Cricetulus griseus: one gene and its partners. The protein of the gene in region 2 purifies or fractionates together with the protein of the main gene of each other region. This does not show direct contact. Links are inferred from orthologs where the notes say so. Each region holds a gene or a part of one and is shown on either strand. Other genes may lie near its edges.

Region 1 (4,188 bases), about 37 Mb from region 2:
ATGTAACAGCGGGACTCAAGGGGTAGCCCTGGAAAAAGGGCATAATCCACTGGGCAGAAGAGGACTCAGTGGGAATGAAGAGTGTAGAGCCTGCTGTGGTCAGAACACAGGCATGGGCAAAGGATACGGGCAAGAGACGAACTTGACAGCAAAGACCAAGTCTGGACAGCAAGGACCTCATTCGTGCACCATGCTAAGAAGCACAGAGGCAAACAGAACTGGACAGCCATGCTTCAGAAAGACATTTTCAGGGACCACGTGAGAAAGGACAGGAAGAGAAGGTAGGCACTTGTGCAGTGAGTGACAAACTGAGTTGGTACCACGATTCTCCTCTTATACACACCCTCCGTAACTATCTCCTTGAGCACAACAGGGCGGGTGGGATAGGCTGTTACTGCACAACAAACTTACAAGGAACAGAGGAGGTACACCGCAGGAGTAAGGAAGACATCAAACCAGATAAAAGAATTAATCAAGAGGGCGATTATCCTGCCGGGGGAGGGGCAGACAGGATACTTAACTGGGTAAAAGACCTCAATAGAGGAAAGCGGGCCTTCCTAGATAGAGGGAGAAATGTTCCTGCTGGCTTGAGGAAGCATATGATGCCAAGTTGAAAGAAGGCCTCATCAGCCAGCCAGTAAGAAAGTGTACACTTGATCTATAGCCCCAAGGAACTTAAACTCTGCCTGTAGTCAGGTATGCTTGGAAAACAGCCCAGCCTGAAGCTAGACCATTGATGCCTTGTCAACAACAGGGAGCCACACCCAGATACTGAGCTAAGGGAACTGTGGGACAATAATCAGATGTTCTCCAAAGCCCCAAATTTAGGTAAGCTATCGCAGAGCATAGAAATACAGCGTGTCTCCGGGACACTTCCAGCCCCAACTCTGTGAGGTCCAAACTACTATCAACGCTGAGATATTCACACACACAGCAGCACCCTCGTCACGACTCACCTCCAGAAACTCAAACTCGTCCCCTTTGGACAGGGTGAGCTCAACCTCCGCCTTCAGGTTCTGCATCTCACTCTTCTTCTTGGCAAGAACCTGGTAGATGCTGTCCAGCTTTCCGTGGATCCGCTTCTCCTCCTCCTTCAGCTTACGCATCAAGTTGGTCTCCGCTGAATCAAGGATAGCCTTCATTTCCATATATTCTTGCCTCAGTTGTTCCTTTTTCCTGTTCATAGAGTCCTACAAGGCAAAAATGAAGGGGCTCCTGTCAGATGGGTGAAAATGCTAAGGCCGCATTCCTGTGTGTCGGAGAGAGGGGAGCACCAGGAACTGTATGACACTTCATGGCACCATTCTAGGCAGCCATGCCTCTGGAGGCAGAGGCAGGCAGATCTCTGAGTTCAAGGCCAGCCTGGTCTACAGAGTGAGTTCCAGGACAGCCAGGGCTACAAAGAGAAACCCACTCTCAACAAACAAACAAAACAACAAAAAGAATGTTAACAAGCACAGCCAGGTATGGTGACTCACAACTGTAATCCCAACACTTGGGAGGCTGAGATAGGAGGACCAAGAGTTCAAGGTCATCCTTGGCTTCATAGCATACTTGAGGCCAGCTTGGGTTATGTGTGACCCTTGTCTCCAAACTGGGGTGGGAGATGAGGGGGAGACAACTGTTCACAAGCATCATTGTTTGAAACAGCAAAAAGTGAGCTGGTCACAGTGGCACAGATTTATTATTCCAGTTCCTCTGGAGACTGAGGCAGGAGGGACACTTGAGCTATCTGGGGGTGGGGAAGCTAAGTACAGGAGAGACTTGATGCAAAGACTGAGAACCATCCTAGGATGAGACATTAAACGATAAACTGGAGGTACATGTGGATCCAGCTCACAAGGGAAAACACATAAGCTATGTGATTCTTTTCACACAAAGCTTAGACACTGAGGGAATGGCGGTGTTTGCTACCAAGGAATGCATGCACAAACAAAAAGGCATAAATATGTAAACACACGGGAATGAATGAGCTTGTGTTTAGGGTATAAATGATTAGGGAATAAATATGATAAATTAGGAACGGGGAGGGATACACTGCAGACGTTAACATAACATTTTATTTTTCAAGACAGGCTTTCTCTGGGTAGCCCTGGCTGGCCTGTAACTCACAGACAGCCACCTGCCTCTGCCTCCTGAGTGCTGGAATTAAAGGCATGCACCACCACTGCCTGGCCCCTAGTAAATTTTTAAAAGAAGGCATGAAACAATTTCAAAAACTTCCGGAAGAGGATTATTCCCTAGAACTCTCTTTTTGAGTGTTCCACGTGGCTGCTGCGCATTTGAAATGTGCCAAATTCAAGAAAAGATCTATCATGACTCTTAGTAGACACTGGATGTCAAAGACTTGATACCAGACAGCAGTGGTATCCCCTTTAATCCCAGCACTTGGGAGGCAGAGGCAGGTGGATCTCTGTGAGTTTGAGGCCAACCTGGTCTATAGAGCTAGTTCCAGGACAGCCTCCAAAGCCACAGAGAAATCCTGTCACAGAAAAAATAAATAAATAAAAACAAAACAAGAAAATCAGAGATGTCTGGAATGTTTCTGGTAGACAGTGTTGCTTCAAAGGTTGTAGTTTTGAACAAACTTCTTGGTTAACCTCAATAGTTTAGAATCAAACATGACAAACACAAATACTGTACACCAAAAGAGTGGAATTCAACTTTTAAAAAACTGTTACATTTATTATTAATCACTATTATTTTGTTGTTGTGTGCACACTCCCCCCAGGAGGTCAGAGGGCAACTTTCAGGAGTTGGTTCTCCTCTTCCTCTGGTCTTGGGGATCAAACTCAGGTTGTCAGGCTTGTGCAGCAAGCCCCTTTACCCACTGAGCCATTTCACTGAGCCTCTCATCCAGCCCTTCCCACTACCTCCTCTGTGAACACCAGTGTCCTTCAGTGTTCATTTCCTCTTTTGCTCTTTAGTAAGAGAACACCCCAGGAGTGTCAAGTGGGTATACAGCTTCTCAGACTACATTTCCCAGACTACCCTGCAAATGGGCTTAGCCAGGGTGGCTAAGTGGCTAAATTGCCTCCCGTGAGGCAAGGCTAGAAGTAGTATGTGCAACACCACATTGATTGCTTAAGAGGAAGTTGCTTGTTGTTGGTATCTTCCATCTTGCTTCCCTTTTCCCAGGCTAGAGCAAACAGGTAAAGGTGACCCAGAGTAAGGACCCAGTTTGGGCTGAATTCTGCCATCTTGGTGGTAACTGCTATATGACCCTAACACAAATCCCAAACCCTACATGACATGTTAATAGTTGTTATTATTATTATTTTAGAAAATCTAGGTACATTCCAGTTGGCCATGGGCCACCTTTGCCTATCTTAGCACAAAAAAAAAACCCCTTCCCTCCTGCCTTGTGACACAGGGATCGGGGGGATCCTCTTGTTTTGCTACTACTTAACATATCCTTCTGCCAATAAATCCTTAATATATTACAGCCTGTGCAATCCTGGATCTGCCAGCATCTTTGTTCTTCAGTACCTTCTGCCTTGACAGCCAGTTTCTATAATAGCCTTTGGCTTAAAAAAAAAAATCCAGCTTCAATCAAAGGCATGAGAGCATCAAACTGTGGAGTAGTGGGACAGTAGGAATGTTCATTTGGAGCAAAGCCATGCTAAGGGTCAAGAGTTGCTCTTGTGTGGACTTAGGTTGTTAAACTGAACAAAATGAACCACCTTATTGATTTGCATTTAAATGGATCCTAATCCTAGGAGGTTAGCCTGCCCTCCAACCAACCAATATTCATAATTCTACCTTCACCCTGTAGGTCTCACTATCTTCTCAGAGGAGTTGTGGTTGCTTTGCGTGTGTTTCGGGGCGGGCGGGGGGGGGGGGAGTAGGGGGGGTTGAAACTTGCATCTCCACCAACACAACTGAAGCCATCAATGAAGGCACAGTTGCTGCATCTCAGCAATGGTATTCTTAAAATTCCAGCTCCTTTCTTTCAATATAAAGGTAATATGGTACCATAGAGAAGGCTCAGTGGTTAAGAACACTGCCTGCTCTTCCAGAGGACAGTTTGATTCTAAGCACTCATATGGAGGTTCATGACCATCTGTAACTCAAGTCCCAGGGGATCTGACACACTCCACAGGCACCAGGCATGCATTTGGTACACACATACAAACAGGCAAAATACTCATAACTTAATTTTTTGGGGGTGGGAGGGGCAGGTTCAGG
Region 2 (3,377 bases):
AGCCAGAGGGATCCTGTCCTTCCTGTTATCCCTGTGGTGTCTCCAGTCACTCTGAGCCTTCAAACAGAACTCTGTTGAGAAAGACTTTCTTGGATCTGGAGCGGTAACTCATTATGAGGCATTTACCTGATATACATGAGGTCCTCGGTTCAACCCCTATCGTTACGGGAAAAAAATCAGACAGACATGTCCTTTGCAGGCAGCTCTCTTTGCCATACTTTGCTGGGAACAGATCGTGGGGTCCCACTGGTCAGTCACTTAGACCCCTGTGCTCACAGCAGGTTGTATTCTAGGAACAGATGGAGTCTGATAACTGCTCAGGAGGAGATGATGACTGGACACATTTGTCTTCCAAAGAAGTGGACCCGTCCACAGGTGAACTCCAGTCTCTACAGATGCCGGAATCAGAAGGGCCAAGCTCTCTAGACCCCTCACAGGAAGGACCCACAGGGCTGAAGGAAGCTGCCTTGTACCCACATCTCCCACCAGGCATGTGGTCACCAGAAGTTTCATTTTCCTTTGCTTTCAGAGTATCCTAGCCCAAGTCTGGTTTTGGTAACACAAAATGGGGTAGCATGGCCTAGGTTTTTTTTTAAATGGCAGTACCTAGTTGTGTAGTGCAGGGTAGCTTTGGGATTGTAGGCTTGTCTGCGGCACACTCCTTGGTGGGGCTGTCAGTTGACATCAGAGAAAACTAGAAGCTGGTCTGACCTCTTCTGTTTGCATCCAGCAACAGTAACCTCATCTCATTTTAAGTATTTCTAAATCTCAATACCCAGATGTTCTGAGAAGGCAGATGTTACAGGAAAGGCAACACTGGTTTGGGCTGCTTTGTACCATGAACTGAACTCAAACCCTACACACCATTTCCTCAGGGGGTTGCAAATTTTAATGGCAAGCACCACAGTCAAGGCCCTAGTAGAAGCCAGGCAGAGTATGGAAAATGCTGGACAGGAGTGGCTAATCCCAAGTGTACACCCTGCAAGAGAGGCAGCCTGCTCCCAGGCTAACGGTGTTCAGGTGGCTAACTTTTCTCCGGGCCAGATTTGGCCTTGGGGCTTACAAACTTATTTTGTGCATGAGAGCCAGAGGGGCAGCAAACTGGTGCATGAGAGTCTGGGAAGGGGCTGTAATCATGAGTTCAAGGCCATCCTGGCTACACAGTGAGACCTACCTCTGTATCTCCATGGCAGACTGCTTATCTCACTTGCAAGGCTCTGGACTGGAGTCAGACTAGAGCAGGGGAGCTGAAGAACTGGCTCATCCAATAAAGTGCTTGCTGTGCAGGCGTGGCAACTGTGTCTGTAGTCCAGCATGGCAGAAGGCAGACAAAATCCCTTCACAAGCTGGCTAGCTAGATAGACAAGCTGGAGTTGGCAAGCCATGAGTTCAAGTGGGGAGCAACAGAGGAAGACTCCTACTTCAGCTCTGGGCTGCCACACCTTCACACATGCATGTACACCTACATAGGAATATAAGTACATACGCCAAATAACAACAGAGGGTGAGGAATCAGAGGCAGTTAGAGGAGATTCACGATTCACATTTTATTATCTTTAAATGGTTTTTATTTGGGTTGGTTTTGCGATGGTGTCCCACTGTTGCCCAGGATGTCCCTGAATGATCTTCCTGCCTCCTCTTCTTGAGTGTTAGAACTACAGGCTTGAGCCACCACATCTGGCAATAAACTTAATTGGAAAATAACTGCACTCATTTGTTTACATACCTTCTGGCTGTTTATGCTACAATGGTAGAGTTGAACAGTTGTGACAGACTGGAAAGCCTACAAAACAGGGCTGTTTGGCCCTTTAGCTGGCCTCTGAGGGTTCTTGTGAGGCCTAAACAGGGCAGTCTTCCTGGCAGGCAGGACTTGCTATGTTTGGAGTGCTGCAGGGTGCCTGACTTTCCTGTCTGTTTTGGCAGAGGCTGATCCCCGACTGATCGAGTCACTCTCCCAGATGCTGTCCATGGGCTTCTCTGATGAAGGTGGCTGGCTCACCAGGCTCCTACAGACCAAGAATTACGACATCGGAGCTGCACTGGACACAATCCAGTATTCAAAGCACCCTCCGCCATTGTGACGGGCTTGTGCCGAAGCCCTGTGACCCACCCCCTTTGTCTTGTAGTTGCATCAAGTAGAGCAGCAGGGCCTCAATAGGGCCAGTTTCTTAGCATTCTTCCAGAATCTACAGGTGGGAATGTGTGAAGCCTTTAAAGCAGTAGGAGAGTGACATGAGGGGACAGTTCCAAGAGTGTACATGCTGACGCCTGAGAACAGACCCAGGTACTTGTGGCTGAGCTTCCCTCTGCCTTCCCTGAGCCTGGCCTTTGCCAGGGAGCTGCAGAGGTACACTGCACTTGCTCTTACCGCCAGCATTGCACCAGCAGTCAGAATTCTTGTCTGATGACCTTCTGTGTTTTCTTTGTTAAAAGTGATTAATACACTGACAGTTATTTTCAACAAATAAAGCTATTATGTTAAGAGGGGGCTGTCCACAGTAAGTCAAAGGTGGCGGGCATTTGGGGCCTCTGGCTCCTGGGGGATGGAGAACTCTTGAAGTCAGCTGAAGGGTCTCACCATATACTTTTTAATGATTCACACTTAGTTTTCGTTCCAATGTTAATGCTTTTAAATGAAACCCCATGTAGCTTTCTCTGACTTGATTTCTAAATGACCTGTAATTAAGTGGCATATGCACTTTAACCAACCCTGTGGTCCTTATTATTGTTGAACAAGAAAAATCTGTTTGACAGGCATATTTATTTGTTCGGGTTATTTGTTCTAAAGCACCTCCGCCTGTGGCATGGAGGACCCATTACATGAGTCAGAGTGAAGGTTACAGGTCATCCTCAAAGTCCTCCCCAGTTGTAAAGAGGTTGTGCACTGCTGGGGCCTTCTGTGCCCCTTGAGCCAAGGGCCTACCATCTGCTTGAGGAGTCCCCATGGCCCATGGCTGCTCTGGGGTCTTCCTGCCAGGCCCCTCTGGCTGGGGTGTGGTAGCGGGAGTGGTTTGAGGGCGCTGGACAGTGTCAGGGGCCCTGCTGAAGTGGCCTTCCCCTGGAGTCTTGGCATCAAGGGTCCCTTGCTCAGCTTGTGTTGGGTCAGCTAGCCTGGTGCCCTGCAGAAATCTTGATGGGTTCTCATCCACATGTGGGCTGTTTCCAGGTGACAGCAGAAACCGTGCCCATTTAGAAGATTGGGCCTTGACCTGCAGGACAGGACTTGGTAGTTTCCATCTAGGAAAACCAAGCTCCCTGATGTGGGTTGCAGCCCCGAGGGCAGAGCTGCCAACTTGTCGCTCTGTCCCTAACAGGCCAGTGGAGTCCTGAAAAAAAGAGAAAGGGTTCTGTTCAGCTTGGCAGGACTGTTGGCCAAT
Region 3 (4,883 bases), on a different chromosome or scaffold from region 2:
CCACAGTTATCTGGACCCCTCAAACCCCTGAGCCTCCACACTTCTCCCAGACTCCCAGGTCTTCTGAGAGCCCAATATATGTGGCCACCCACCACCCTGTGCCCAGTCCCACCCGGTCTACCCTTAGTCCTCACAGGCTTCTCAACTCCCCCAGGCCCTGCAAGTCCCTGGACTCCAGGCGTTGTAGGTGCTGCTGGTTCTCCACGTAGCTGCAGGGAGAGGGGTGGTGAACAGGGTCAGGGCCTCAGTGGAATTACCCCATTCCCACCAGCCACCCACCTCCCTCACAGGCACCTTTCACACACAGACCCATGTCACCTACTCATTCATGCGCATGCCCCCACATGCTGGCACGACTCACAAGTCACACATGTGCATACAGGCATGCATGCACCCTCACCTTTACAAAATACAGACTCTCACATGCCTCCTGCAACACATAGGCAACTGCACAGAAACACACGGGGATATCCTCATACTCTCACCCAAGGACACACATGAACAAAGCTCACATAGACGTCTCTCACGCATACACAGATGAGAAGGTGTGAAGATATGTTAGCCAGTGCACACTGCCATTCTCAGCTTGGGGCTCCACTTTGATAGCAGGCCCCTTCAGCATATATATGCTCAACAATAAGCGGGTCGTGCTGGGGCTCACTTCCACAAAGGGCAAGGCTCTCAGTGCTGCTGCTCCACCCAGTGCTAAAGATGCCCCAATGGTCATGCTAATGTGTGCCCCAAACACAGCTCTGAGACTGCTATCTGGGTTCACTGACCCCAAACACACACACACACACACACACACACACACACACACACACACACACCACCCTCTGTCCCCTCAAAACCTTTCGTTCTTCCCTACAGCATCCCTACTCTCCCCTCTCCAGTACTTTTCCAAAACAAGCAAAAAGCATAGAGCTGTTAAGGACCCCTTAGTCCCTCCTCAGTCCATGAAGGACACAGGAAGGGAGAGAGGAGCATGGAGCAGATGGAGTCTGAGTGTGTGGCTGAGGAGAGATGGAGATACAGTGTGAAACACAGGAAGGCTGAATGAGGTAGCAGAAGGTGGGCAGAAAAACAGAGTAAAAAACTCAGAAGAGACTGAGTAGTGGTGGTGGGAAGGGACATACAGATAAGAACAGGGGGCCACAGAGATAAGGACTGAGAACCAGGGATGCAAAAAGAGAAAGACGGCACTCGGGGTGAGGTGGCTGTGGTTGTGGTTGCAGTCCTATCTTGTGGATCTGGCGTCCCGGAGTTCCTGTGAAGTTACTTCCCTGTAGTGACATGTCCTCTGCAGTGGCACGTCCATGTTTCCTCTCCTCTCCCAACTCCCGTATGTGGCAGGGGCCCCTGACTCACTAGCAGTTCTCAGAACTCTTCCCCTCTCTTTTAGATTTTCCCTTAGTAAAAGAACAGCGAGGGAACAGGCTCAGTCCAGCCCCCCCCCCAACCCCAGCCCTGCTTCCAGCCTTGACTTCAATGGGACAGTACGTGCCTATCCTCAGCCTAGAAGCCTAAGGAGATGCAGACGGCCACTTTGGGGGAGGCCAGATCCCTGTTCTGCCCCAAGGGTTTCAAGCTTCAGAGACCCAGGGAGTTGATAAGATGTGAAGAGCTGGGTAAGTAGGGCTGTCAGGCAGTGTACTCCAAGCCGCCTCATTTGTTCAGATTCATAATCAATCTGTCTATTCGAGTCCATTAGCTCCTTGTTAGCTATGCGGGTGAGGGAGGAGGGAGAGGATTGTGCAGGACGAGGTGGGAGGATTGGCCCCACCCAGGGGGACATCTCAGCTCACCGCTCTGCCAACCTCCTCTTCTACAGCCCTAGCTTGCCCACTGCCTCTGTCCCTGGGCTGGACTCCCTTGGAGCCTGTTAAGGCACTGGGGAATGAGAACGCTGAGAGGCACAGTCAGGAGCCGGGACTCTGGTTTGAATGGGCAGGCCTGGGAGCAACAATCTAGACCTCATGCCCCCTCCCATCATGCAGGAGCCTAGGCCAGACCAAGACAAGGCCATCCCCTCTCTTTTTGGTCTCCCTAGGGCCATTAGAAAGAGATTGAGTATCTCCGTTAATTACTACAAGATGCCCGAGTAACTCGGTGCCAATCACGGCCAGCTGCTGGTTCTACCAGCATGCAGAATACTCAAGTATTTTCCAGCCATCACCCTGGGATGCTGAGTCCCTTCAGGTCAATTATACTCTCATAGGTTTCACCAGCTGCTAAGAAGTACTTGCATATTTTGTAACCAATTATTGCAGAATGTCAAAGTACTGCAGAGCTTAAGGTTCCGCCCAGCTCTGGACCTGGAAGAAGTGAGAATCCCTCAGCAACAGCCCTGACTCCCTGATACAAGTAGGGAGACATTGGTGAAAGGGGAGACGGGAGAGAAGCAAAGGGCTTTCATTTCCCACATCCAAATCAAGAAGTCAATGGAAAGAAGAAAAGCTCATACAACAAGCTGGTTCCTCATCAACTCCAGCTCAATCACAAACCCAGGGAAGACCTAGGGTCCCTGGCCAAGACAAGGGAGAGGTTGGGGACTGGCTTCCCTCTAAGATAGAGAAGATGGCAAAGGTGCACAGTGCCGAATTCTCCACAGCTAACCCCCACACCGAGGGGCAGAATTTGGGCTCTTGAATGAACCCCACAAAGAGGCTCCTATATCGATGGACCAAGACCTGGTCCCCTTTTGCTCTGCCCCAAGCCAGCACCTCAGCCAGCTACCCTTAATCCTGGGCGACGTCCAGACAGTGACTGCGCGGCTTTGCCAGGGTGGTGGCAGCAACAGCAAAGCCGCTGCAGCACAGCCAAAGGTTACACGTGCCAGCCTCCTACAGCAGCCAAGCCTGGCCCCTCAAGCCAGCGGTGAGTGCGCGCCCTCGGGGAAAGGCTGTGCCCTCCTGACCCCGCGTGCCTCCCCCGCCACACACTCACAGCTCCGTCAGGTTCCCGGCGCCCCGCAGGCCGTGGAGGGTATTCAGGGCCCCTGCCCTGGTGCAGCGAAGCCCCGAGGGGCCCACGGGGCAGCAAGCCTCAGGACAGGATGCGGCGCAGGCAGAGGCCAGCATCAGCGAAGCCAGCAGGCCTCCTAGCCCCGCGGCTCGGCAATGCCAGCCCAGCTGCCCGCGCCGCTGGCCTCGCAGCATCGCGGCGGCGCCCGCCAAGCTTGGGCTGCGCCGTCCGTCCGAGCGCTCTTAGCTGCCACCGCCCGGCCTCGCGCGACACGTGCGCGGGGCGGTGTTAAAGACCAGCCACCAGGAGAGGGCGGCACCCGCGGCCACGTCCCGCCCCGCCCCGCCCCGCCGGCCGGTGCCCCCAGCGCCCCCTCCTCCCCTTTGGGGCCCTAATGCCAGCTAGCCTCCCTAATGTCCCTGGCGGCTGCAGTAGACCTGGGGCGGAGGATTGCTACAGGACGCCTCACAGGCGTCTTCTGAGACTGGAGCGGGCTAGGAAGCCGATACGTTATTTCTCCCAGTAAAACAGCTGCATTTTCAGATTTGCAGGGACAGGGAGAGATTGAGCAAGGAGAAGGTTGAAGTCCAGGTCATCCCAAACAGCCTCGCGGTGCACATGCCTAAAAGAGTGTGCATGTCACTTGGAATAAGTTTGATGAACACTCTCCAGACGCTAGTAAGAAAAGGGAGATGGCCCCAGAAAGACCGGACGCAGAACCTGCGGAGGAAAACAGAAGGGGCAGAGAAGTGTTCTCTCAACACAGCTGGAGGGAGAGTGGAAAGTGGAGACCGCTCAGTCCGCAAGAGACCACAGGGTGGCGCTAGAAGCCCTTGCGCCGCGGCGTTTGCGCCGGGCCTGGGTCTTCGAGGGCCGGGAAGCGCGCGCGGTTCGCAGCCCTGCCAGCCTGTGCCTTCTGTCTTAAGGTCAGTCCCCAATCGCAGCCAGCCAGTTGGGGCACAAGGCCGGGTAGGGCCAAACAGAGCAGGGCTGGCATCGATCGCCGTCCTGACAAGTGCATCGATTTCTGAGCGGAGAAATTAATAGATCTCTTAGCTCTTCGGACGTGGGAGTTGCCCGCGGGTAGAGCTGGGAACCATCGACCCTTGGTATTTGTGAACCTGGGAAGTCCCAGGATCCAGCATTCAGGCCATCAAAGGGCAGGTGTCGCGCATTGGCCTTCCTGGCTGCAAGTCTATTAAGTCTCACACTTTTTTGTTTTGTTGTTGGTGGTGGTGGTTTTTGTTTTTGTTTGGTTTGGTTTTGGTTTTTCGAGACAGGGTTTCTCAGCAGCTTTGCAGCCTATCCTGGAACTAGCTCTTGTAGACCAGGCTGGCCTCGAACTCACAGAGATCCGCCAGCCTCCGCCTCCCGAGCGCTGGGGTTAAAGGGGTGTATGCAAGTCTCACGCTTAAGAGGGGACAGACAGGTGGGCTCTGGGAGTGACCGAAGTATGTAGGACCCAGCTAACCAGTGAAGGATAGATAGTCTTAGTGGCAGTTAGCTTTCTGCTCCAGGTCCCAGCATGAATAGTCCCTCGAGTGTCTTCAAACGAGTACACAGAGTATACACAGAGCATACAGAGACACACCAAACATCCCGAGTTCTTAAAAGTAACCAAACGAAGGAGGAATCTCACAAAGGGACTTGGCAGGGACGCGCCCCGCGGCAAGGGGTTATGGTCAAAGTGGCCTCAGGAGGCTGGGGGGTGCGGGGGCTGCTAGAGGCGAAGGTCTGAGATCTTCAGGTTCCACAAGCGGACTATGCGACCTGTCCAGCCTGCGAGAAGTTACCCTCTAGGGTGTCAAAACACCTGTTGGACTCCAGAACCTCCGCTCCTCAGACCAGGGCGCCCAGTCGCTGGCTCGCCGCCTCCAGGTCTGCAGCGAGCAGAGGCGGTGCCAGAGGTGGGAGAGAGA
Region 4 (4,903 bases), on a different chromosome or scaffold from region 2:
TTATTTATTTTAGAAAAATATTTACAATAAAGATTAAAGTTCCCTGTAATTCCACCAATCAAAAATAAACATATAGTAGTATTTTACTGCTTTTTTACCATATATATGGTGAAAATATATACAATATATATACTTTATATTTTATATATGATATATAAAGAGTGTGTGTGTGTGTATGTGTTTAGACAGAGTTTTTCTGTTTAGCCTTGGCTATTCTGGAACTCTCTCTGTAGACCAGGCTGGCCTCAAACTCACAGAGATCAGCCTGCCTCTGCCTCCCAAGTGCAGGGATCAAAGGCGTGAGCTACCACTGCCTGGCTTCTACCAAAATATTTTATCCATACTTATTTTCCCACTATAATATTTAAAGTACTTTTGGATATCTTTTTTTTCTTTATAGCACAGATTTTAATATCCATAAGGTATCTACCATATGGACATAATTCACATAACCAGGCCTTATCGATTTTTAAAAATAATTTATTTTTATGTGCATTGGTGTTTTCTCTGCATGTATGTCTGTGTGAGGGTGTCAGATCTTGAAGTTACAGACAGTTATGGGCTGCCATGTGGGTGCTGGAAATTGAACCTGGGTTCTCTGGAAGACCAGTCAGTGCTCTTAACCACTGAGCCATCTCTCCAGACTCAGCCTTATTAAATTTAGGATGGTTTGAAAGTTCAAATTTCTGAATGTACTCCTATGTCCTTAGGATATTTTCCTGTAAGTAATATTACAAGATCAAGAAATTACATTAATAAGCCTTTTCAGTTGTCACATATTCAACAATATTTTCTCTTATTTTAAAGCTTGTAATTGTTTTAATTGGTTAAGCATGTTCTTTGACCATTTCATAGGTGTACATATGTTTATCCTTGTCACCCTCCCTCTTCCTCACAAGTTTCCTTCCCACGTTCATGTCTTTTTAACAGCATTTTCTTACAGAAAAACAAAACAAAAGCACCCACCCATTTTTATCTGAGGCCACTATGACAGTGAGCTTTGACATAATGTGACTGGCCTCTGGCCCTGTGCACATCACAACTCACTCATTTCATCACCTTGGCAATAATGTAACAAACAAGTCCTAACTGTTAACAGGCACTTTTCTTAGCTTCCTAAGACACTCCATGGCCCACAACATTCAGTCTTATTTGGCTGTTTTTGTTTAGGTCACACATGTTTTTCTAGTCATAGCATCCCAAAAGCAATCAGTTTCGTGGAATTTAAGAGACATAAAAAAAAAAAAAAAAAAACTGCTGCTAGACTGCCTGCTCTGTAAGAACAGAGACTACAGAGACTACCTGTGGTCTCGTTTTTTTTTTTTTTTTTTTTTTTTTTTTTTTTTTTTTTTTTTTTTTTTTTTTTTTTATGGGACCTAGACTGAACTCACAGGAAATTACCATTGTTAGTGTTTTTTAAATAATGCTTGCTGCTATGTTCTTCTGTTCCTGGAAACACCTCACAGAGAAAGTATAGAAAAGCATAAAAATCTTTTAAATCCTAACACTTTGAAATAATTCTCTGTTTACATTTGGCATTTTGTGCTGAAATTTATTCACATTTCTGCCTAAGTGTGTAAGTATAAATAAATTTGAGAAGTTGGTCATATCATGTATATGTGCTATTATTGCCGTCAAATAATCTCATTAAATATGCTTGCACACTATAATATACAAGAGCATTTAATATTTTATATATGTATGACCTATAATCTTTCAATGGAAGTAAATGTCTGTTATGACTTGTAAGTGTTCAGAAGCATCCATATCAGCATACAACATTTCTCTTAATTCATTTTACAAGAAGACTTCATTTTACTACTGCCTTAAGTCACAACTTAGATCACCTAGTCTGACATGGGCTCAGATTCCCATGTGTCACTCAAGGGCTTCAACAGCACACACCATAAAAACATAGAATTTTTGTAATACCAGCCAACCTATCCTGGCTGCTTGGTGAGTTCCAGTCCAGCAAAAACCCCAGATAGAAAGCACATGAAGAAAACACACACACACACACACACACACACACACACACACACACACTCATAAAAAGATATACTATTTTATTCTATTTACTATTAGATGCAACAGAAAAACAAATAATCATATTTTCAAATAATCAAAATTTTCAGAAATATTAAAAGTGAAAAAAAGAAAAACGGGAAAAAGCTGTTCCTTGAATGTGGCTGGCCCACCATTGAGGAGCAAGGAGTAGTCTACCTTAGAGCGGAAGCTCACTCGGGCTCTGCCACGTGCCTCAGTTGACTGTCTAATCACTATCCTTCCTTGAATAATAGGCACAGCCCGCTCCTCCCGTGACTTAGAGAACTATTTCCACTTAGAGAACTACCTCCAATATGCCGGGTGGGAGCATAAAATGCAACTTGCTAGGACTTTCCAGGGATAAAAGTTTACAGTCATCCAAAGGCTCTCTCAGGCCAAGTGTAACTGTTAGTGACACCTCTGCCACCAGGCAAGGGAGCTCCGGGAAGTGGGGCTCTAACCAAGCTCTGCCTCTCCAAGATCCTACCACGAAGCCTCTGTAGGCAGGTGTTCCATACATACCAGCAAAGGCAGTCAAACCTCAATAAAATATACAGCCAACGCCATCATTTTCTAATTAAACGTTAAGTGTAAGACGTCTAACCTCGCTGCCAGTACAGATTTCTGAGTTTTTATCTCTCCTTCCTTACTGTTTCGTTCTCCGGACGGTCCTGTTTCTTTTTTAAGAGAAATGATAGGCTGGAGAGGTAGTTCGGTGGACTGCAGTGTGTGTGTGTGTGTGGGTGTGTGGGTGTGTGTGTATTTATATTCAGATCGCTAAGATAGTGTTTGTGTTTGGGGTTTGCATGTGTATATCAGAAAATGTGGGGGCAGGTAAGTGGATCAGGAAATGGAGCGGCCAAGTCAGTTGAAATTTTAAAATTTTGGTTTCTCTTCAAGGAGGTGCCTTCCAATAGACGGCTGTACTTGCTGTGTTCCAGAAACACCAGAAGCACGTCTATGGGGTCGGGTGGGGTGGGGTGGCAGAAGGCCCACAGAGGGCAGCGGGCAGCTACCCACATAGATAAAGCTCCTGGCTTCCCTTCCAGTATTCAAACCCTGAATCCCTCTACAGCCATGTGGACTCCAGATCCCACGGAAACCTAGAAAGTTCTAGAATCATGATCCTTCCCCCTTAAAAGTTCAACTGACCTTATCAGAAACAAACCCGAGCGAGGTCTTCACCAAGGGCACTTGGCTCCCAAGCCCCTTCTCTGGAGTGTGTGGCAGGCAGAGGGAAACCCAGACCTGGAGGCTAGACCTTGTCTACTTCCTGCTCTCCTGGCACAGGCGGTACAGAAGGCAGGAGGAAGAGGGCTGACCTCGGGTATGCTGAGGATCTCCTGTTAGTTCCTTTGTCCCCCACTCTCAAGATAGTTTCACTTCTACGTTCATGCCGTACTCACCAGTTTATGTAACTATATAAAATCTAGGAACCACAAATGATAAAAGCAAATGACATTTGTCTTTCTGAGATTGGCTCAGTTTACTTAATATGATTATCTCAGTTTTTGTCCATTTTCCTGCAAATAATTGTCTTTTCTTTCTTTCTTTCTTTCTTTCTTTTTCTTTTTTTTTTTTTTTTTTTTTTTTTTTTTTTTTTTTTTTTTTTGTTGGTTGGTTGGTTTTGGTTTTTGGAGACAGGGTTTCTCTGTGTAGCGTGGCTGTCCTAGAACTCGATCTGTAGACCCAGCTGGCCTCAAACACAGGGATCCACCTGCCTCTGCCTCCCAAGTACTGGGACTAAAGGCGTGTACTGTCACTGCCCAGGTGGATTTTATTTTTTTATGCAAGATTTTGAATATCTAAATAAGTAATTAAATACTCTTTTCTTTGTGGCTGAAAATTTCTGTTTGTGTGATTGGTGTGTGTGTGTGTGTGTGTGTGTGTGTGTGTGTGTGTGTGTGTGTAAAATGCCACATTTTCCTAATCCATTCCTCTGCTTATAATTGTCGGGTTGGTTCCATAATTTAGCTCTTGTGAATAACTATGGATATGCAAATGTCTCCATGATATGTTGACTTAGTCCTGTGCATACCTGCAGCTGGGTTGCATGGTAGATCTATTGTTAATTTTTGGAACAACCTCAATGTTGATTTTCCAGAGGCCAGCCCAGCTTACAGTCCCATCAGAATGGTAGAAGGGTCCCTTTTATCTAATTTCTTTGGAGCATTTGTTGTTATTTGTTATCTTAATGACTGCTATTCTAATAGGGATATAGTGGAATCTCAATGTACTTTAATTCACACTTCTCTGATGGCTAGTAAAGTGGAGCATTTCTTCACGGATTTTAGCTATTTGTAATTTTTTTTAACCATTTGTTTGTTTATTTGAGAGTGAGGAGCATCCTTGCCACTTGTGGAAGTCAGGAGACAACTTTTGGAAGTCTGTCCTCTTCCATGGTTTGTGTTCTAGGGATGGAACTAAGGTTGTCTGGCTTGATGGCAAGTGCTTTTGCCCCCTTAGTCAAGCTGTATTTCATCTTTTGAGAACCACCTGTTCATTCCATTAGCTCATTTGTTAACTGGGTTTTTTCCATTCATATTGCTTACTATTTTAGTTCTTTGTATAGTCTAGATGCCAATGCTTTGTCAGATACACAGTGTGTAAAGATTTTTTTCTCCCATTCTGTATGCCTGTTTCTTTGCCCAGTTAACATTTCCTTTACTATACGGAAGCATTTTAGTTTCATGAGGTCTCACTTGGGCAACCGTTGGGCATACTTGTTGAGCAACACCTTTCAATAATAATTCTGAATACTAGTGGTCCCAGTATCACAATTTAAAAGATTGGATTAAAAAAATAAATAAATAAACCAAAACCAGGATCCATCTATTTGTTGCCGACAAAAAAAAAA
Region 5 (3,375 bases), on a different chromosome or scaffold from region 2:
ATCCCTCACTACTTCATCTACGAAATGGTACTGCTTAACTGGGGGCTCTGAGCTCCAAGTGAGTTAATGTACGTGTCAGTGGGGGTGGTCCCATGCCCCACTCTGCCGAAGGTCTATCATGCCTCCTAGAAAACAAGGGGTAAGTGCTGGATGAGGCTGATTCCCCTCGGTCCCAACACCTTGAAGAACCAGACCAGAGACAGAACAGAGACTAAAAGGGTCAGAGGGCAGGGCAGAGGACCAGCTGTCTTGGCAAAGTGGACTGAGTGACTATTAGGAGGAACAAAGACTCACCTTGGCTTGGTTGTTGCTCCTATTGGGTGGTAGTACATTGGCAGGTGCTTTGGCCACACTAATAGGCACTTTGGATGGCATTGTGCCAGCATATGCTGAGTTGATGGGTAATTTTGACGGTGCTATATTGGTGAGCACAGTAGAAGGCATTGCAGCAGTGGACTTTGTACTGATGGGCAACTTGGAGGACATTTTGGAAGACACAGTAGTTACTGGTACCAATTTGGTAGAGGAAGGCACTGAGCTAGTGGTCACAGAATTGGTGGGTACTCCCCCATCTGTGCTGAGACAGGTGGCAGCTTTGGCCTGGTCACCAGCTCCCTTTGCCAAAGCCAATCCAGTGGAAGAGGAAGACAAGGAGGTATCAGGAGATGGAACTGATACTGTGACCCCAGGCAAGTGGCTTGTCCGCAGGGTGGTACGTGGAAGGGGCTGGAAGGAAACAGTTGGAGACACAGGTCCATGGAGTGGTGTGGAAATGGAGTCAACACCTACAGGCGAAAACAGACACAAATCCAAAGGATTGTGTTACATTAAGGGCTAGAGAAGGGTCCCCATGCCATTGGTTACAGTCCATATCACATCTGGTTTCCCAATTTCCGGCTCGTGGAGAAGACTCAGACCTTGACGCAGAGCCCTAGTTGGTCCCTATCACCAAAATAAAATGGCATCTGCCTTCATCCGCACCCAAAAGCTTGATGCTCATTATAAATTATTCTTTTGTTCTTCCACCTTGGACACTTGCCTCTTCTCCCACTTCTGCCTATTCTAGTTTGTCCTGGCCTTCTAGCAAGAGCAGTCCTGAATCAGGGCAAGGGACAACAGGATGGCTCAACAGAACCACAAGCATACTTCCCCAAGGAATAAGGACCTAGTAGTCCCAGAAAGGGAGCTTGATCTGGGGAAACCAGAAGCAGCAGGTGTTAACAGGACATAAGGGTAATGACATCAGACTCTTCAGAGAACTCTCAGGACACACATGCCAAGGCTGACAAACATTAGAAGTGATGTCTCCCCTTAAGCCTAATAGAAAATCTCCAGGCACCTGTGATCACAAACATGCTACAAATGAAATGCCCTTAGTGCCATAGTTCACAGAAGTATTTCCTGAGAAATGTCTTGTGACAAGCTGATATTACAAAGCCTTGTGACTGAGGGATGTTTGGGAATGAAAGCATTTGGGAGCACTAAGATGACTTCCCCCAACCTTTAACTGCTTCACACAGCAATTCTAGGGCACTGAGGGCAGACCAGGCACCTGTGACAAACAGAACAGAGTTAGGAAAGTGGAGGTGAGCCATTCTAGCCTGGAAAGCCAGGGTGGATAGAGTACAGTCCTGAGGGGGAGCATCAGGTTCCTCTGACCCGTGACTGACTCATCTAGAGTTGAAACACTTTAGTAATTTTTCTGGTGTCTTGGTTACTTTTCTATCACTGTGGCAATACCGTGACCAAGACAACTTACAAAAGAAATCACTTAACTTTGGGTTCACAGTTCCAGGGGGTTAGAGTCCATGAGGATCATGGTGGGGAGCATGGCAGCAGGCAGGCATGGAGATAGAGCAGTAGCTGAGAGCTTGCATCTGATCCACAAGCATAAGGCAGAAAGACAGAGACAGACAGACAGACAGAGACACAGAGAGACAGACATACAGACACACACACACATACACACAGAGAGAGAGAGAGAGAGAGAGAGAGAGAGAGAGAGGGAGAGAGAGGAGAGAGAGAGAGAGAGAGGAGAGAGAGAGAGGGAGGAGAGGAGAGAGAGAGAGAGAGAGAGAGAGAGAGAGAGAGAGAGAGAGAGAGAGAGAGAGAGAGAGATCGCTAACTGAAGATGGCATGGGCTTTTGAAACCTCCAAGCCCACCTCTTTGACACACCTCTTCCAACAAGGCCAAACCTCCTAGTTCTTTCTACATAGTTCCACCAACTAGGGACTAAATATTGAGATGCATGAGCCTCCAGGAGCTATTCCCATTCTAACTACCACAGCTGGGAACTAGAGACCTCCTTGTGCAGAACGGTGTTTAAGAGCTCCTTCGTCGAGTGGAAGTTCACGAGCCCAGTCTGACAGCTGGGGAACCAGCATAGGACCAAACCAGGCCCCCACTGGGTATCAGTGGGGAGGCCTCGGCAGTCTATGGGGCCTCTGGCAGTGGAACCAGTACTTATCCCTAGTACACGAATGTGCTTTGGGAGCCCATTCCCTATGGAGGGATACTCTCTCAGCCTAGATACATGGGGGAGGGCCTAGGTCCTGCCCCAAATGATGTGACAGACTTTGATGACCCCTCATGGGAGGCCTCACCCTCCCTGAGGAGTGGATGGGAGGTGGGATGGGGGGGTCAGTGGGGGGAACGGGAGGATGGGAGGGAGAGGGAACTGGGATTGGTATGTAAAATAAGATTGTCTTTAATTTAAATAAAAATTTATTTAAAAAGAAAAAGAATTTGCTGGGTGTTGGTAGTGCATGCCTTTAATCCCAGCACTCGGGAGGCAGATGCAGGGGGATCTCTGTGAGTTTGAGGCCAGCCTGGTCTACAAGATCGAGTTCCAGGACAACCTCCAAAGCAATACAGAGAAACCCTGTCTTGGAAAAAAAAAAGAAAAAGAGCTTCCCTCATCAGCTAGTCCTATGCTATCCCTCATTCAGGTCCTGGTCAATCCATACCAGGTCCTTTTACCTGAGTGCAGAAATAGTGCTAACTCTGTCTCACATGCAGCAATGTACAGCAATGCACACCTACACGGCCATCACACCCTCCGGTGTGATTCTGCCAGTTTCTCCGTTCTCGGAATCTGGGTTGGCCTTATAACTTGTTTTGACCACAGAACAAGGCAGGAGTAATAAGGCCAGTTTCGAGTCTATGCCTCACAGCCCTGCCTTTCTTTTACCCAGAGCCTTGCCCAGATGCTATGAATTGGGTTTGTGTGCTAGAGGATGAGAGAACGAAGAGGCGCCAGCCAATGAATACTAACAGAACAAATGTATATGTCAGGGAGTACGTAAGAGTTCATCAACAAGACCAGAAGACCTACCCAACTGAGCCACGTGCTAATGAATATAAGCTGCTGCGTG
Region 6 (4,188 bases), on a different chromosome or scaffold from region 2:
GCTAAATAACCAAAGCTAGTTGGGCTTTATGATCCTTACTGCTAGATGGCAGAACAGAAGTTGTTGAGTGGTATTTCTCTTCTTCCATTTCTCCATGTGATGTAAAGAAGTCCTGAGAATGACTCTGCGCTGTTTCAATGAGGGATGAAGTTAGTGTTAATTAGGAACCATGATACAAGTCCTTTGTTGCCCACTTACATTGATGATCTAGCTATGAATTAGCAGATGGATAGATACAAAGGGAGAATGATAAATTTGCCCTTTATCATCTGCCCGATTGTTAAAAATATACAGAAAAATTATATTTTGTCCCTAGTTAGCTTCTTTTTCTCTTAGTGCAGTTCCAAAGTGAAGCCAAAGCCAAAACTTTGCCCTCCCTGGAGCACCTTGACCCAACTACACTAGGGATCCCCAGGAAACAAAAATCACAGATATGAAAAGTAGAGCTTTAATTTCAGTTTTCCTCAACCATTAAGACTGCCAAATTGTGAACAAAGAAGTTATAAGGAAAAAGTGCTATGTAGCTTGTCTTCGAACACTAAAGAAAAAGCTCATCTCCATCAATTAACCCAGAGAAAATTTTACAGGGAAATACATGACTCCCTTGTAGAAAGCATTGCATTTTAGTTACTTCTTTGTTAATAGGCTGTGATCTCGCCTATAACAGGGTTTCACTTCACTGCACCAAGGAAATGCTTGCCTGGGCAAACACAGGGCCCTCAGTGACTTATCAATTTGGGATTGAATCATTGCCCATATCTGAAATTACTTTGACTGTTTTAAGTTTCTTTTGTGTTCTTCCAAGAAAGGCACTGACTGACCTCTGAGGAGCGGGTACAAAGGCTATATAAAACATGCCCATGAGCCATGTCCACCACCAATAAATGCAGCCAGGAGAGACCTTCACCAAATCCCAAATCCAACACCAGAACAAAAGCCAACAGTAACACAAAATGGAAATACAAGTCCTGCATTGGCAAGAGCCATTTATAGGCTTATTTATATCTCCTTTGATGCCAATTACTGTTGTTTACATTAATGATGGTCAATACATGCCTGCTGGCTTTTTTCCCTATGCCTAAAGGTCTCCTATAAAGGACTCTGACCATTATGTGTAGCAAGAAGTAAAATGAGGCCTTCTTAATTTGGAGATTTCTTTGATAATCTGCCAAGAATTTATGAATGAGTTTGGGTTGATCCTTGGGCTATCCTTATACACATGGTGAAAATTAAGGACACTAAAAATTTCATATTCCTTCATCTTTGGCAGATGTTTAAGGATAGAAAACTATGTTAGCAAATGATTCTTTTTAATTCCAGGGATGCCACTTTGGTCAGTTATTAACAACATGCCTGTTGCTCCTCTCAAGTCTAAATGCTATTTCTCTATTCACTATGATAATCTGGCCCTCATGTTACACCATCATGAACGCAATCTTTCTCCTTCCTTGGCTGGAAGAAGGGTGTGAATGAAAAAGTTTCTATTAAAACATAGAGAAAACAATCTACTAGTGATGGTCTTCAATGTCCTTCACATGAAGAGTTGGAGAAGAAACATGGAGATGAATTAAGCCTCCATATCCTTTTGCTAATAAAAAGTCATTGGCTCTGAAGGAGACTCTGAATGAAGATAAAGTCAGGTTTAAAGAACCCATACAAGAAAGACAGCCAATGAAAACGGATTCATCCCCTGCCTGAGCTGAACCACCTAACAAAGACCACACCATTCCACCACCAAATGTGACATTTTGACCAATGTGAGCAGATGTGAAGTAGGAAGACAGGTCAACAAAAGAGCTGTGTGTCATTATCCTTACGAGTTGTCACTGAAAGTGGTCCTGTCCTGTCCAAGTCTTCCACCAAATGGGTATTTGGAGCTGTAGTAGGCTGAAAGGTTGTACTATGACTGGCGTCCGTATCTGAAGGAATTAAATCTGTGTTACTGCCTTATTCCCTATGCCATTGCCCAAGGGCCATTGTCATACAGCCAAGCAATTTTTATATTCAGCCTGATAAGAGGAAAGAAACAGGTTCACATGTACAGACTATGCTAAATGATTGTTTCTTTAAGAATACCACAGGATATTCATGGTTTTCATTCAGGGCAGAGTCGAGTTAAAGCTATCACATATTTGTTTGCTTGTTTTGCTTTGTCTGGAAGGAAGTTGCAAGAGCACTCAATGAGGCTCACAGTCCTGGCAAAGGGACAGAAATGTAGCCCATGTGTAATTTGCTCAACTCCAAGGCAGACAAATACAGTCAGACTCATGGAGACAAATAACACACACAAGCACCATTTTGTCACCTCCTGCTCACCAGGCCAAACAAAACAACACCAAGAAAAGTTTTTAAGCAGCCATTGAATTCCCTTATTTGGTTATTTCTGTTCTTTTATTTTTGCTTCACAACGTAAACACAGAAAAAACAAAAAAATATACACATTACCCAATATAACTATGTTGAGACAACAGGAAGTATCCATAGACAAACAAGAATCATTCTTCCCATAAATATAAGAAAGACGTATCTTGGGAGTTCTGATTATAGTATTGAGTGGTATGAAACATCCCTGAAGTAATTAAAAAGACTGCTTTTTCTGATGGTTATCACAGATCTATTATGGGCTGGAATAACAAGTTCAGAGTGAAATAAAGGCCAAACAGTCCATAAACACCATCAATATTGCTAACTCTACAATTTTCTCAGTCCACCCACACCACTGCCTCTGGGGAGATCTAATCAGTTCCAACAGTGGGAAGCACTGGGATATGGGACACCCACATTGGGACTCCAGCCTTTGCATGCTAAAAGCAAAGACAGATAAGATCTCTGTTAGAGAAAAATGTGTGGCTCACTCTACCATCAGGATTTCAAAGAAGAAAGGCCAGTTGCCCCATTCAAAATTTTAAATGGATACCCTACCAGGAAATGGCCTTGTCTGATGAATGTCTGCATCCACCCTTGTTTATTTTTCCTCTGATTAGAAAAATGCTTTGAGGACTGTCATGTCATTGTACGATAGAAGCTGTCATGTGTGTGTGAGGAAACGTAGTAAAGAAACTGCAGACATGACTACTTCGTGATATGGTTTGTATTGTAGGTGTGTGTGTGTGTGTGTGTGAGAGAGAGAGAGAGAGAGAGAGAGAGAGGAGAGAGAGAGAGAGAGAGAGAGAGAGAGAGAGAGAGAGAAACAGCCAGAGGCATCTGGAGGAGTTCAGAACAAAGAAAGGAAAAGGTAGACTATGCATGGCCAGAAGACTGGACATAGCCAGGGCTAGGAAAGAGGGAGAGAGAGAGAGAATAGTGGAGACAGCAAGATAGCAAGAGATAGAGAATAGAACACAGTGAGAGAGTAAAAAAAAGTAAGAATATAAGGAGGGTGAGTAGCTGTGGGGAGGGGAGAGCCAGGAGACTGGCACAGGGGACTTTGAAATGTTGTAACAAGTACTTGTGAATTGCGACTGAGGGATCTTGGAGGCCAACATGGGCTTTGATCTGCAGTGGCAGGTATATGTCAATGGAGAGCCATGTGTCCTTTCTGCCAGAGCTAAGGGAACTGATTCCTTTTGACAGATGGGAACTGGTTCCACAAGTTCTTGAGGAATGCTGGCCTTTATCTAACCACTAGAAATCCTCCTATAGTCTAGATTGAGCTCCTTTCTGGATATTTGGACTGCCTATGAGATCTAACACCTTTTACTTGATTATTTACCTATGAAATCGAATCTTTCTCTCTTCTTCAGGTTGGACACTTAATAATGATTCTGGAGGTGTTTTGCTGAGTTTATTTATTTATTGATTGATTAATTATTTACTTTTTAGAATGTATTTCAGTCAGATATGTGTAGAGCATATGGCTGACAATTTATATCCAGAAAATACATCTAAATGAAACTTCTCTGAAAAAATTTACAAAACCCTGTATTTGGTTATTTTGGAATGTTACATTTTTGTGATAAGGATATTTTGTTTTAAAAAATGTAATTCTGCTCATGAGTATAATAGAAACCCAGTCTTCCAGTTGTTGAATCCTAAGAGGACAATGGCCACCAATTCTTGGTGTTTCTCTCAAGCAGGTTGCTGCTGTTACTTTTAACAGGAAAGTTGCTTTTAAATGTGCAAATTAGTCAAATAATTCACAACCCTCCTTTCTTGCAAAACTACAACTAATACCTTTTGCTTTCTCTT
Region 7 (4,806 bases), on a different chromosome or scaffold from region 2:
AACAAAACAAAACAATAAATAAATAAATAGAATGGAACCTCTTTGTGGGATTTGAGTCCCCAGAGGTCTGGGAAGCTGGAAGGACAAATGAAAGAGTCTATAGGAAGCAGGGAAGAGGAAGTGCAAGGCTGAGTCTTGGCTTCATTATACGCCAGTTCCCCTGGGGAAGCTGAAGAGGAGTTCACAGGCCTTGGTGTCCCTGTCTGAGGTAGGGGTGGCACAGGAAAACCCAAAGCCAAGGCCAGCCACAAGTGAAGGATGAAAGAATGTCACTTCTTTCATGGTGGTGGGCTGGGTCTTGGGTCAGGGTGGCCAGGAGCAATACTACCCTTAAGGAAGGGACTGGAATGACCAACTAAGGCTAGCCTGAGAATTATGTGGCTCCACTCTCATCTCACTTAGCCTTACATCTCTCCCACCTGCCTTGTCCCTTAATCACTCTGTGTGACCTCTCCTGGGTTTGGATGAGTAGATTTGCAGCTCTCCTGGGTTTGGGTTTATGTCTCTGCATGGCCACACACAAAACCCCCTTTAACTCATGAGCATCCCAGTTTGGACAGTAAATCACACAGTCACTAAGGAATGTTAAGGACAAATCAGAGAGCAGCAGCTACAAGTGAGGTCCTGCTGGTCTAGAGCAGCTGCCCAGCTGGCTTCAGCCCATCAGAGCCTTCGACTGGACAGCAGTGGAGATGGTGCCAGGGCTGCTGCTCCTCATGGAGCTCTCTTTGGAGGCAGAAGCCTGGCCTGCTGAGATCTGCCTGCTGACATCCCTTGGCAGCCTGGCACTATGCTGGGACACACAGGAGGCTCTTAATCAAATCTGGTTGTGTCCTTATTCCCTCTACCTGCATCCCAAACATCACAGCAGTGACAAGCAGAAGCTGGAGCCCTCTAACCCACCATCCAGCTACACATCAGAATGTGACCCAGGTACCCTGGCCTTGCCATTCTGCATAGACAGCAGCAGCCCAGACGCTGATTGTAGCCAATCCCTAGGATGTAGGGTGAAAAACTGTACAACAGAATTCTCCTGTATTGGGTAACTTCTTGGTCTAGCCCACCAGACCCTAGGCCAGTGGTTCTCAACCTGTGGGTCATGACCTCCACAAGAGGTCGGTCACATATCGGATATTCTGACATCAGATATTTAAACTACAATTCATAACAGTATCACAATTACAGTTATGAAGTAGCAACGAAATGATTTTATGGTTGGGGTCATCGTAATACGAGAAACTGTATTAAAAGGTCGCAGCATTAGGAAGGTTGGGAACCACTATCCTAGGCCTTCCTCTATTGAAGGCCTAAGCTTTGGATACCTGCAATCTGTGCTGAAGGCAGAGGTCCAGGGGGTTTTTGAGGGCTTCCAGAGGGCTCTGTCCCTCAAAGAGATCAGTTCATAGGTAGACAGGGGATGGAGCTGAGAAACGTCATTACAAATAAGCACAACATCCTGAAGCACAGGCATAGGATTGTATCTGGGGAAGTGTGAGGGGTCAGCTGGGCTGCCTGATTCTCTTCCTTTCTCTCCTTTCCCAGTCCCTTCTCCGTCTTGGTCAGGAACCAAGTCACGGCTGCTCAGGAATAGCCAAACCTAAAGCCGGAGCACAGAATGTGATTTCCTACCTCTTTACAGTTTGAGGCAATGTAACTGTGTCAGGCTCCCTGGGTTCCTCTCAAACAAGCTAGAAAAGGCTACTGAGTGGGGGCCCAGGTTACCCATTTCTGCTCAAGGGTCTCTAGTATCTAAAACAAAACCAGCAGAGGATTTCACTCTTACTACCTCCTGTTCTGGCTGCATGCCAGTACTGAAAAGTGTTCCACAGAGATCCACACAGTTCTCTCCAGTGTTAATCTGGGAAAGAAATAGCGATGGTTCCCAAATGTAAAATACCCTTAGCTCACAGAGTTGAGGACCTAGGTCCAGACAACCCCCTCTGCCTCTGAGAATCCACTCTTACTCCCTAGCCTGGGAAAAAACCTTGCTTGCCTTTTCTGCTCCCCAAACTCTCTTCCGATTTCTCCTCTATGCCTGCCTTACTAGGCAAGATGGCTCACTAACACAGTAGAAGTGGATCCAGTAGCTGGTAAGCCTATAATATTGGGATGTACCTCCAATCCCAGAGAACAGTCAAAGTCTCTTCTTGGTCACCTGGAATCAGCCCATGGCCATCAAATAACCATTGATGACACTCCCCCACCCCTGATGTCCATGAAGAAGATGGCCTTCCCCAGGACACTGGGGAAGAGCTGAACTCTGTCCAAGGGAACTTCTGCAATGCTCAGAAAATGCCTGCCCAACTGCTTGCCTGGGCTCTGGCCCCTCTGCTGCTCTGAGCCCAGACAGGAGGCTGACTCACTCACCACAAGGAGGAGCAGGAGGAGGAGGGAGAGGAGGAGGAGCAGGAGGAGGAAGAGGAGTGTGGCCTAGGCTCATAGAAGCAAGGCTCCCCCAGAACAGGCAGGCAGCCTCAGGTGGGTGATAGTGGTCGTGACGACAGTGGATCATGCAGTTCCCTTCCAAATACTCCCTCCGAACCTCACTCACCAAACAGAAACTATTTCTTAAATCCCTTCCTCAGTTTCCACACTGGCCCCTGAGTCCCTCTGGACGTCTGTGGACAGGCTTTTCTGATAAAGAAATCCAGTACACTAGGTCTCAAAGCACCGGCGGTTTTCGAAAGTTAACAAAAGAAAACTCCATTTAAAGGATTCTACTCCACCATCACAGGTGATCACACATGGGCCCAACTGGGTAATAAACAGGCTACTCACACTCCACCCCCAGAGACCTTAGCTACATCCACAGCCAATCACTTGCTTTCTTACTCCTCCATTCCACGCTAGAGCGCAGGTCCGAGGAAGGAAACAAACGCTTGTTGTCCGGTGAGAACTGTCCTAGCGAAGGACTCCTGCGCTGAGCCCCCCAAGCATCCCGGAAGGTGGCTGCCCCCTCTTCAACATCTCACGAACTTCAACTTTCTCAGACCTGGGTGCCCTCTCAGAGTTCCAACCTCATGGCACCACAGTCCGGATCTCAATCGCCAACTTTGCTACCGAAACTTGGTCTCTAGTTCTTGCCCCTGGGCACTAAGACCTCTCGACCCCGGACGCCCGCCCCTGAATCTAATCTCTCACCCTGAACCCGGTTCCCGCTGCTCCCTGATCCTCACCTGGTCCGGCGGGTGGACACGCTGCTTGGCGCTCCCGGCGTTTAGGGCTGGCTCGGCAGCTGCCTTTTGACAAGCAGAGACGGCTCAGCACCTGGCCCCGCCCCGCAAGGCCCCGCCCCCGGACCGCCCTGTTCCCTTAGCCACGCCCACCAGGTCCAGTCCTCTCCTGCCCTGAAACCTTCTTGACTTGGAGTCAACCACTGCACTGTCGCCTAGGAGACCCTGCTTTGTGAAAGGATCCACGACCTCCGGTCACAGCGAGGCGCAGGCTTCTGCCCTACTTGGGGCGGTCTTTCATGATTCCGTTCGTGCAGATCCATGTTTCTGCTTGCGGTGATCCGTGATGTATTCGCCACCTCACCCCCGCCCCGCTGCCGTGGTTCTACCCAGTCTGCTGCAGACGCCTTTGCCAGGTGCGTCACTCGCACCTGAGCTGACCCGGGACCCCGACGCCCGCGGCGCGCTGCGAGGAGCCTTTCTCCGTTCGCCGTTGGGAAATCGCCGGCCAGTTTCTGATGCTGGGCGCAAAGCCGGACTTCACCGGTTAGGACAAGCACAGGGGGACCCAAGTGGACTGGAGACTGGAGTTGTGAGCTCTCTCCTATCCGGCGGCTTAACCACAGCGAGGGGGCACGTTCCTGGCTAACTGCGATCTCATTCCAGCTGGCTTTGCCTCAGCTTCCCGGTTCTCTGCACCCCATCCCCCGATCCTCTCTTGCCATGAAGAACTCAGAGGTTCTAGATTTGGCAAATTTTGCAAGGTTACAGATGTCACACACTATGATTTGCTCCCACCATCACACTTCTAGTATGTCCTTCTCATCCTCCCCCAGTTCCTGGACCTCATCTGGCCCTCCAGACTCTGCTCTCTTTCATAGCTCTGTCCATCCCATCGAACCTTTGCCACCATCTCCAGGCAACAATGAGCCACCATAGAGTGTATTAGTCTGTCATATGGTTTGTTACCTTATAATAAGACACTTTGTATTTATACTGAACAAGAATTTTAGCCACCCAAGCTTTATTCCCAGTAAGTCATTTTATAACAGTGACAAAAGCAAGATTTCTTTCTCCTTGTTCTCCTAGAACCTTTTATTGTCTCCTGACTCCACATTTCCCTGGGTAGGTCCTGGAATAGAGAGAGATTGCTTTCTTACACTACCTTTCCCGGAAGCCTTGAGGGCAGGCAGTGGTCTCTGGTAACTATACTTCAGAGTTAACAGCTTTAAACCCCTCTAGACTGGCTGGGTGGAGGTGGCACACACCTTTAATCCCAGCACTCGGGAGGCAGAGGTAGGTGGATTTCTGTGAGTTCCAGGTCAGCCTGGTCTTTGGGGTAAATTCCAGGACAGCCAGAGTTACACAGAGAAACCCTGTCTTGAAAAACCAAACTCCTCTAGGCTGATCCAGGAACCACACTCCAGAACCTCTGCATATAGAAGGCATGCATTTCCCTTTTCTTTTTTCTAAAGACAACATTTCTTTAATTCTCTGCTGTCTCCAGGATGGATGGTATTGGTCACTTGGTCAGATTGCCTCTGCTCAGTGTTTGTCTCTGACCAGTTTTATCAGGGAATATCTATGCATTTTTCCATACACACAAGACACCACATTAGAGCTCTGTAACTCA

What was found.
Region 1: the proteins of Sqstm1 (region 2) and Trim25 purify together in Homo sapiens (affinity purification with mass spectrometry; 3 studies listed by BioGRID, with this or other methods). This does not show direct contact. The link is inferred for Cricetulus griseus from reciprocal best matches to the Homo sapiens genes SQSTM1 and TRIM25.
Region 3: the proteins of Sqstm1 (region 2) and Ntrk1 purify together in Homo sapiens (affinity purification with western blotting; 6 studies listed by BioGRID and IntAct, with this or other methods). This does not show direct contact. The link is inferred for Cricetulus griseus from reciprocal best matches to the Homo sapiens genes SQSTM1 and NTRK1.
Region 4: the proteins of Sqstm1 (region 2) and Casp8 purify together in Homo sapiens (affinity purification with western blotting; 5 studies listed by BioGRID and IntAct, with this or other methods). This does not show direct contact. The link is inferred for Cricetulus griseus from reciprocal best matches to the Homo sapiens genes SQSTM1 and CASP8.
Region 5: the proteins of Sqstm1 (region 2) and Mavs purify together in Homo sapiens (affinity purification with western blotting; 3 studies listed by BioGRID). This does not show direct contact. The link is inferred for Cricetulus griseus from reciprocal best matches to the Homo sapiens genes SQSTM1 and MAVS.
Region 6: the proteins of Sqstm1 (region 2) and Cd44 purify together in Homo sapiens (affinity purification with mass spectrometry; 3 studies listed by BioGRID and IntAct, counting the BioPlex papers as one, with this or other methods). This does not show direct contact. The link is inferred for Cricetulus griseus from reciprocal best matches to the Homo sapiens genes SQSTM1 and CD44.
Region 7: the proteins of Sqstm1 (region 2) and Vdr purify together in Homo sapiens (affinity purification with western blotting; 3 studies listed by BioGRID and IntAct, with this or other methods). This does not show direct contact. The link is inferred for Cricetulus griseus from reciprocal best matches to the Homo sapiens genes SQSTM1 and VDR.

Annotation. Positions count from the first base shown.
Region 1 is NC_048600.1:102,145,797-102,149,984, reverse strand, and holds part of Trim25 (E3 ubiquitin/ISG15 ligase TRIM25), read right to left. Parts: intron 1,191-4,188; coding exon 957-1,190; intron 1-956.
Region 2 is NC_048600.1:64,657,245-64,660,621, reverse strand, and holds the end of Sqstm1 (sequestosome-1), read left to right. Parts: intron 1-293; coding exon 294-489; intron 490-1,923; coding exon 1,924-2,081; 3' UTR 2,082-2,757; downstream 2,758-3,377. Other genes in the region: Mrnip (MRN complex-interacting protein), read right to left, coding at 2,838-3,326. UniProt on the Homo sapiens protein: Molecular adapter required for selective macroautophagy (aggrephagy) by acting as a bridge between polyubiquitinated proteins and autophagosomes.
Region 3 is NW_023276806.1:66,668,344-66,673,226, reverse strand, and holds the start of Ntrk1 (high affinity nerve growth factor receptor), read right to left. Parts: upstream 3,159-4,883; coding exon 2,947-3,158; intron 210-2,946; coding exon 135-209; intron 1-134. UniProt on the Homo sapiens protein: Receptor tyrosine kinase involved in the development and the maturation of the central and peripheral nervous systems through regulation of proliferation, differentiation and survival of sympathetic and nervous neurons.
Region 4 is NC_048595.1:413,109,670-413,114,572, reverse strand, and holds the start of Casp8 (caspase-8), read right to left. Parts: upstream 3,285-4,903; 5' UTR 3,199-3,284; intron 1-3,198. UniProt on the Homo sapiens protein: Thiol protease that plays a key role in programmed cell death by acting as a molecular switch for apoptosis, necroptosis and pyroptosis, and is required to prevent tissue damage during embryonic development and adulthood.
Region 5 is NC_048599.1:47,327,843-47,331,217, forward strand, and holds part of Mavs (mitochondrial antiviral-signaling protein), read right to left. Parts: intron 786-3,375; coding exon 295-785; intron 1-294.
Region 6 is NC_048599.1:74,826,145-74,830,332, reverse strand, and holds part of Cd44 (CD44 antigen), read right to left. Parts: intron 1,920-4,188; coding exon 1,818-1,919; intron 130-1,817; coding exon 40-129; intron 1-39. UniProt on the Homo sapiens protein: Cell-surface receptor that plays a role in cell-cell interactions, cell adhesion and migration, helping them to sense and respond to changes in the tissue microenvironment.
Region 7 is NC_048595.1:394,400,966-394,405,771, forward strand, and holds the start of Vdr (vitamin D3 receptor), read right to left. Parts: upstream 3,258-4,806; 5' UTR 3,177-3,257; intron 1-3,176.